Linked DNA regions of Oryzias latipes. The protein of the gene in region 1 interacts with the protein of each later gene in a pairwise test. Links are inferred from orthologs where the notes say so. Each region holds a gene or a part of one and is shown in the gene's direction. Other genes may lie near its edges.

What was found.
Region 2: the proteins of nfe2l2 (region 1) and mafk interact in binary tests that used the Homo sapiens proteins (3 or more experiments, as listed by UniProt). The link is inferred for Oryzias latipes from reciprocal best matches to the Homo sapiens genes NFE2L2 and MAFK.

The regions. Positions count from the first base shown.
Region 1 is NC_019879.2:22,682,257-22,686,607, reverse strand, and holds the start of nfe2l2 (nuclear factor erythroid 2-related factor 2), read left to right. Parts: upstream 1-1,330; 5' UTR 1,331-1,499; coding exon 1,500-1,526; intron 1,527-4,260; coding exon 4,261-4,351.
Region 2 is NC_019866.2:7,342,105-7,346,660, reverse strand, and holds the start of mafk (transcription factor MafK), read left to right. Parts: upstream 1-1,534; 5' UTR 1,535-2,373; coding exon 2,374-2,384; intron 2,385-4,556. UniProt on the Homo sapiens protein: Since they lack a putative transactivation domain, the small Mafs behave as transcriptional repressors when they dimerize among themselves.

The DNA.
Region 1 (4,351 bases):
CTTGATTGTTCATCTCATTAGAAAATTCAAAATGAGCCCACACTGGGCTGCAAAACTGCTCCTTATTACTTCCAGTGAACTATCATTCAGCTTCATAAAAAGAAAAAAACAACAACAACACAGGTACTTAGTATTTTTGCCCACAATTTAGGTGCTGTGCTGACCCAAATTAAGTAATACACCATAGTCACTTATCATTAGTAGTTTAATAAATTAAATACTTTCAAAAGGACTTCATGCAATTTATGTACCGTAGTTATTATACCCTCCACTTTTGTTTTTTTCAGGCAAACGTTTTGCTCCATTTTACTAACAACTTAGGGTTCCATTTGACCATTTTTAGACACTTCTAAACAACTTTTAGCTAAAATCACATAATTTTTCCAAAACATCAAAAGTACTTTACTTTATACCTGTACATGCTGGTGTTTTGTCCTCTGAGCCCATTTTGGATGAATTTTAACCCGTGTTTATATATATGGATTGTAGATCTACCAGTATTGGAAATATCATAAGAATTGTGTTTGTCTTTATTTTTATTGGTACAATGCGCACAGAGTGCAAAAACAGACCATGTCTTTGTCACAAGAACTGGCTATCTCCATCACATTAGTACCAGGTTCATGCAGAGTTCACGCTGATTTGATAATAAATAAGACTAAAGTTCAATTTTCAATCTAAATGGCCTACATTAGGATATTTTTGGTTTAAGTCAATATTGACTTCAAACATATTGTGAATGTTTATAGTTTTGACAGTATTGGAGGGTCATAATAATCTTACATACTATCTAAATCAAAAGTTTGTTTTGACGTTTCTCTGTAAACTTTATTTTAAGAGGTAACACAATTTGTGAAGAAAAAATAGTGAAAATCCTGTTTGAGTTAACTCCCTATCGTGAATAAAAAGTATTTGGACAAAATATTTTACCTTTCTTGGTCATTCTATGACATTTTACATTGTAATACAGTCATGGGGATATGAGGGTTGAAGAACCTTTAGTCCAATGACATAACATAAAGTGACCAGAAGGGGCCGCTATACACTAAACAAAACTTGAAGCAGTTATATCTATATGACGCAAGTCGGTGACTTTTATGAGTTTATTGAATAGTTGATTTGAATAAAAGTTATCTTATTAAATCCCAGCGGTAGTTATTTCTTTCATAGATCATAACTTTTACATGATAACCACTGATATGTTGTGCAACAGTTATCTCTACCATTGTAAAACTGCTGCATCTGAGCCCAGTTGGCCCAACGCGCATGCTCACTGAGTGCTTCCCTTCATTCTCATAGGCCGTCGTGAGTGGGCCGACCCCAGCGGGCGGGCCACCAGCTCCCTAACGTTTACCAGCCTTGGCTGAGGCAATATTTCCCGAAAGTCCGGTGCCGCTGTGACGGGCCCCTTGTGGCGTTTGGTTGCTCATCATTTTATCTAAAAAAATTTGGATTATCACTACTATTTCTCCGTCTTTGGGCGTTTAAGCTGCGGGACAATGATGGAGATGGGAGATTCCAACCAGGTAAACATAAATATACATTTTATTTTTATTAGAGATCGGACAATTATAGTTTCACAGTAATCTTTAAAGAAATTTGGACTTCGCGCTGTGTTTCATATATATTCAGTTTCTATAACAGGCTTTTATTGCGAAAACAAAAATGTTGTGAGGATGTTTTGCGTCAACCTGTCTCTTAAGCTAGCTACTCACTCAGCTGATGGCTCTGGATATTTAAGATTATTTTCTGAAAGTTGTCAGTCTTTCACATTCATTGACTTACAAAACTCAGATCTTGTTATTGTAATGCATGATTCTATAACATGTAGCCTTTTTTTCTCTCAAAGTTGGGTGAAGTTTTGTATAAACAGATTGGAATCTTGCTTCCTTATGACTGGCCCTCCAACGCCATCCCATAACTAGAACTACTAGCATGTGATTCCGTGTCTAATGCAGTGAAGTCTTTTATAACCAATGTGAAACTGTTAGAGTAGCGATTTGCTTGTATCTTCCTTAAAACATAACATTAGCATCTGCTTTCGCTCTTCCCCTTTTTGGTGTCACATGATATAGAACCACAGCTTGAGGTCGCTCGTGTTTTTTTCATGTAAATATAAATTAAGCTAATAATATCAAGGAATTGAGGTTAGCTTAATTTTTTGTTGTTGCTGTGTTTGGTTTAACGTTCCCCCGAAATGACTAAGTTTAGCTATGTTTTAGGTTCTTCAAAAGTTGTGTCGTTACTGTCTGTCTGGTTTTCCATACAAATACAAATTAAGCTAATAATAATCAATATAGGAATTAAGTTAGTTTACGTAATATCCGCTGCTTTTGGTTCAACGCCCCCCTGAAAGACTCATTCAGCCATGTTTTAAGTTTTGTAAAAGCTGTGTGTCGTCATTGCCAGAACATAATGTTATAAGTTTGTGTAATATAAACACAAGTTCCCTTTTACTCGACTTTGTTTACATTAAAGTAGGCATACATTGCAGGAGTTATCAATGATTTCGGTTGGTCTTGGTACATTCCGTTTCTATTTTAGAAGTAGTACATGATGGTTGTGTTGGTTTAGCTGCTCACCGCCTGCGTATTATCTGGGAAATTTGAGAATGTTCCCGTGTTAAGCTTCCTTGTTCACGTGCCAGTCAGACTGTGGTGAATCAAGGTCACGGTGTCGGAAGAAAAAAACAAAACAAAACAAAGAAATGCACACACCAACTGTTTGTCTGCTTAATCTATACCATCTAAAGATTTTTAAGATGTTATTATATGTAGTCCTTCTGAATCTACAGTTGGTTTTTGGAAAAATGAATTGTGTTGAACGCTTGATTGTATTTTTACATTGTATTTATTGGATTTTTAAGAAAGCTGTCAAACTGGTTTCAGAATGTGCTTCTTTTCTAGTCGTTTTTTTTTTCCCTTTTCTTTAATTCAGGTGTGGTCACAACAGTGTTAGGGGGTCTGCAGCATTTTAGGGAACTTCCTCATTCCTATAGCCACCATAATTCCTGGTTTTGGGCTTCTACACTCTTTGCCATGATTTATGCTCACCAGCCTTAGTAATGAGTAATGCTTTAATGGTCCAGCTTCTGATGCAACACTCAAGCACAGACTTAGTGGGTTCTTATTTTGCTTTGCCGCTGTCTCAAAGTCTGTGTCAACAGTGACCAAAATATTTTCCCGTTTGTTAATGATTATTTATGCTGCATGTCTTTTCTTTTAGGTAAAAAAAAGAGAATTGTTGATATTGTTCAGTGCAGTTTCACAGCCTGTTAGTGGATTGTTTTAATGTCTGCTTTTTGTTCCTTTTTTCTAGTTTTTTTTGGTTGTTTCAGTCTGCGAAAACCACAAAACAGAATATTATAAAGCTCATATGCTACTTTCATAGGAATTTGGGGGAGAAAAAAAAAGTCATATGGTCTGGTGGTTTTTTTCTGTGGAAGAGTATCTTGGGTTTATGCAATATCCTGAGGCCTTATGAAATAGTTTTCTTCTGTAAATAAATTATGGTGAAAAAAAATCCCTAAGAGCGTAGCATAATTTGTCTTTAAGAGTGTTGTTTGAAAGTTAAGTAACATTTGAGTCTGTGAGAGCAATTTGAAAGGAAATGGTTAGAAAACATTTTCATGCTTATTTCTATGTAAACCCAGAATTCAAAATGGACTTTTGTTTTGCAAACTTGTCCAGAGATTACCGTAGCTGTCCACAGACATGGATGGAACAAAGTTTATATCATGTCTAACGTTCAACCCTTACACTCCTGCAATGTTTACCCTAAACTTTATGAAGTTATTTGTGTAACATTTTTTCTTTCCAGATCATGCTATACATGTACGATCACTCATTCTTATTCTTATCTTATAAAGGCTACCAAATAAAAGCACTTGAGGCTAGTTTACCAGAGTGAAATTTAATCTGATCATTGAGACCTTACCTGACTGTCCGGGAGATTAAACGAGACAAAAGAATTCACACTTTGGAGTAATGAGATGGGTATACGTGTCAAATTGGGATTCTGCTTGTGTGTGGCGGCAACAAGGGAAACAGAGAAGCATGTTTATTATTCATAGCCATTCTCCCTCGTGACATTAACTCCAGTGTTGCTGTGAGCGAACAGATACGGAGGGGACAGGGTGTGGCAGGTGCAAAAGCCATGTTTCACAGCAGGGACAATAATTCTCCTTTCAGCACTAAGCGTATTCTCTCTGCAGGAGTGCACAATGGCTTCCAACTCTTTTGTTTGCGGTTGTTTTTTCAGGACCTGGACTTGATTGACATACTTTGGAAGCAGGACATCGACCTCGGTGCCAGGCGAGAGGTTTTCGACTACAACCATCGGCAGAAGGAGC
Region 2 (4,556 bases), on another chromosome or scaffold:
ACCATGCCATACTATATTTTATTACATACTATGCTATATACTACTGTACTATTTTACTCTACTACACTGTATTGTTCTATATTATACTGTCAAAACTATACGTTTGTAATGTGTATTATATTTAATCTATTATACTGTACTTTATTGAAATATATTTTTATATTGTACTATGTCATTCTGCATTTTATTATACTATTCTATACTAAACTGTGCCTCAAAATAATATAGTGTACTTTGCTATTACATGATTTATAGTATTATAACAAACTATAGTCTGTTTTCCTATACTTTACTTTATACTTTCTTTTAATTTACTGAACAACACTATTCTATACTATGCCATCTTATAGTATACTATACTATGGTCTACTTTTTAAAAAAATTCTATACCACGCTCAGCTACACTTTATACATGTTCTATACCATCTTGTGCTATACTGTGTGTGTGTTTTTAACGTTTTTCTAGGAGGAAATGGTTCAATAATAGTATTTCTCCAACGCAATCTTTGTTTCCTAAAGTTAAAACTGTCCAACCAGCATAAACAGGCCTTTAAAGGTTTTTCCTCCAACACGTTTCAATTCACTTCTTAATTACCCAGAATAACTTGTGACGTTACTGGCTGGAATTAAAATAAGAGAAATCCTGTGACCGCCGGACTACTACACCACATTCTTTCCTCGGGAATGGAATGCAGCTGCTGCTGCTCCCAGAGTCCGTTTTCCTTCAGCCAAATCGCATGTCTGTCTGTCTGAGCACCTTAAGCGCAGACGTGGATATAGAGACTAGCTTCTCCAAAGGAGAAAAGGCGCAGCAGCGCGCAGAAGACCCGGACCTTCACTAGAAACGTCTCTGCTATCAGACCAGAGCAGAGTTGGATAAGTTTTGTAAAGTAAGCAAATGCAGTCTCAATCTATTTTCTATTTCTGGCCTCCAACCCCCCCCATCCCCACCTCGCAGACTGACGTCAGCAGAAAGTTATTTTCATGAATGGAGGGGGCGGTCACGAGGAATCAGTGACGTGAGTGCTTGCGGAAGCAGAGCGTGGAATGTGCTTCATTGTTGTTGTTTTGTAGTTAATTTAGTACGAGGATCCGCTGCTGCCCGGGCTCCGCCGGACGCTTTACACCAACCGGGTCAAGTTTCTACTTCGCCTCCTTTGGACGCAGATTCTGCGACTTTTACGCATTCCTGTTTACGGACGCGCGTCCACAGAGGTGAGGCTGTTTGATGATACTTCTTCTTTCGTTTTTTCATTTTATTTTATTTCTTATTTTGTTCTTTTTTTCTGGAAGATCTGTTGACAAATTGGCCAAGTTCTCATGGTGACATGTCAGAGCCAGGCGTAATGCGGGCCACGCAGCAGTTAGAAAGCCCTATTTGGGACCTGGATACGCGCGACACGTGCTATGTTGGAGTCTGAAAACAAAAAAATCGGAGGGCAAATATATAGATATAATATTCTGATTGTTATTTTTGTTTGTTTTGCCTGCTTAATCAAATTTATTATCATTTTTTAATTGAAAAAATAATGTTTTCCCGTTTGCTATAGGCTAAAAAGTTCGTTTTATTTTGTTAATCCAACACTGTAGTGATCAAAAAAATTTTCGCTCAATAAAAAGTAAAATAAAGTTATTTAGTAAAGGGCTGTAAAGTGCTTATGTAAAGATTACAAAACCCTTTGAGTCCATCATTACTCAACCACCTTTCACGTTTTTCTTTAGATGAACTTTTGGAGAAAATGGAAGTGAAACATTTCCCGCTTGAAATTCCCTCCAGATTTAGTTCTGACACTGGAAATAGGACGAGCGCTTTACAAGATGCCATGACATTAGATTCAACACGTGGTCTGAGTTTTAGACATGTGGGACAAAGGGCACCAAAGACCACCCGAGTTGAGTGGTCCCAAAAGGAGGAGAAAGCAAATATTTTTACAAACATGAATCACCCTGATGGATGAAAAGAGCTTTATCTTATCTGTGTGTTCGGTTCTAGTCAGCAGAAATCTTGTGCAAAGATAAGACAATGGGAGCAATGACCTCATGATTCCTGCTGCTTCCAAGTCTAAATTTTCCATTATCACTTTTTTCTTTCCTTTTTCAGTTTTAATTATAAATACTTGTGTTCCAATCAGACCTGTCACCGATCTCTTGATTGTTCCCCCCTTCAGGCAGTGAGAGCTCACGCCTCTTATCATGAGATGAATGTGTGCTTCAGTCACTAAAGTGATGAGGACTTTTTTGGATGGAGAAGTAGCAGCAGCTGACTGGTTTTCAGAGGATTCCCACTTCCTAAACACGGAAAGCTGAATTTATTCGCTCTGTTTTGACTATATCGCTGGTCACTCAGTGGACACAAACGGAGCGGAGAGTGAAATGTTTTTGTGGTAAGAGTGTTGTGAAAGTGAAATGTTTGAGGTTTCAGACAAGATGAGTCACAGGGAACACATTTTCTGTGATGGTTTTCGCTCTTTTTACTGGAAAGAAAGGGTCAACTGTTGATTATTGATTTTGGAAACCTGCGGTTTGACTGTGCCAAGCTTATAGATATATTTTAAGATGGGCGTGTGAAGAGGTCTGCCTTCAATCCAATCTGACGGCTTCACTGCCTTTGCAAGAAAATCTGTAGTGATCAGATCTCCAGCAGCTGCTGGTCCTGGACTCAGACATAGAGGATGGATTTGGAATAATTTTGTTCTCATTTGTGCATTTTGGCATCAATACAAATAGCTCCAAAATGTTATGCAACCCCCCCCCCAATTATAGCAAAATCTGAGCTGTAATGTCATTTTTTCCCCCCCTCCATGCATTCTTGACATTTCTTTGAATCCTTGCGTCTGGGAGAATATCTTTGGAGTCCTCCTCCCTTTTCCGCACCAAAGTTCCGGCTGCTGCTCCAGAACCACTTCCAAGGTTCTCTGTACTTTTCCTTCCTCCCTGTGAAACAGCGGGATTTTCCAGGAAACACCAGATCAGGAGGGTGTGATTCCCTGCTGCTGATCGTCGGTTTTACCAGTAAACAGCATGACTCACAATTCAAGCATGCACTCCATTTCCCTCATATAATATCCCACCAAATGTGCTGCGCTGGAGGAAGAGTAGAGGGTGGCACATCTTCAGCCAGGGCAGAAAAAAAAATCCATCTGCTTGGAAAAAAGCACACTCAGATTGCAGAAAGCAGCAACTCTGTAGTGAATACAAGTCAGCTTTGCATTTATCGCTGATGCATGAACACACAGCTCTTTGATATGCTGTTTATTTTTGGGAGAAGGCAGGGCCCCGGAGTTACTCACTGCAACTGGAGAGTCACTCCACCAGATCCTTGCATGTTCGGCAGAAATGCAACTGAAAGTAAATGCAGAACAAAAACCTTCACCCAGGTGGAAACGCAGCCAAATGTGAAGCTGACTTAAAATACAAGCATCGCATTTATCATCAACCAAAATGAGAAAAAGTTGTTAAAAGATTAGAAAATAACCCCCCCCCCCCGACACACCAACAATTCTAACAGCTGAAAATCCCATATGAACACTAAAATCAAAGTAAAATATCGGTCTTTAAATTCACTGTTTTAAAGATAATTGTGTGATTTTCATTACATTAAAACCCATTTTACACACGGCTTTCTGGTGTTTTGGTCATAGATTTACATTTGACACGGAAATGTATCTGCCAACGCAGTCTACAGTGAAGGAGCTGAGCTGTTGAATCCAACTGAACACGTTCTTGAAAGGAGTAAGGATAAATTTTAGGATGTACTGAATCGCACTGACACACCTTCCCTTAAGGAAGCAGAGGTTGGAAGTCTGGAAGTTGGGATGTGTTATTTGGTGACATTCCTGTGCAGCTACCCACAGTGGTGGGAACAGTGCGTCTGGACTGGCAGAGTGCGGTGATGGTCCCTCTGTTCAAAAAGAGGAACTTTGCACAGGGTGCTTGAGGGTTCATCTGAGTTCGCCCATCCAATCCACACATGCTTTGTGGAGTTTAAGACAGTGTTCAATCTTTTTCTTTGCTATGTTCTGTAGAAGGAGATCTGAAAATCTGGGTCTGGAGCTCACAAAGAAGTCTGGTCACTGTACAACTAAAGCAGGAGTTTGGTTTGTAATGCCAGTATTATGTGGAACCTATTTTCATGTTGGACATGTCCTTAGTCATGGTTCTAGGAACAGTCAGGGGCCAGAGACAGTCCAGTTTGAAGACCACATGATTTCATCTCTGCTTTTTTATTTTTATTTTGCAGATGATGTTATTCAGTTTACTTCATCCAACCTCCAGTGTGGACTGGGGCGGCTTGGAGTAAAGTGTGAGGCTGCCAGTATGAGTATTAGCATCTCCAAGGTGGATGTTGTGGTTCTCAGTTGCAAAAAGGTGGTTTGTCTTCCGTGGATAAGCAGGTAAAGGTGTCCGTGTGGAGGAGTTTGAGTATCTTGGTTACAAATGAGAGAAGGATGGAGTGTGAGATTGACAGGCAGAGAGGTGCAGCATTTGTTCAATGTGGTCGCTGTATCGATCTGTTGTACTGGATTAGGAACCGAGTCTAAATTCCTACTTTCACT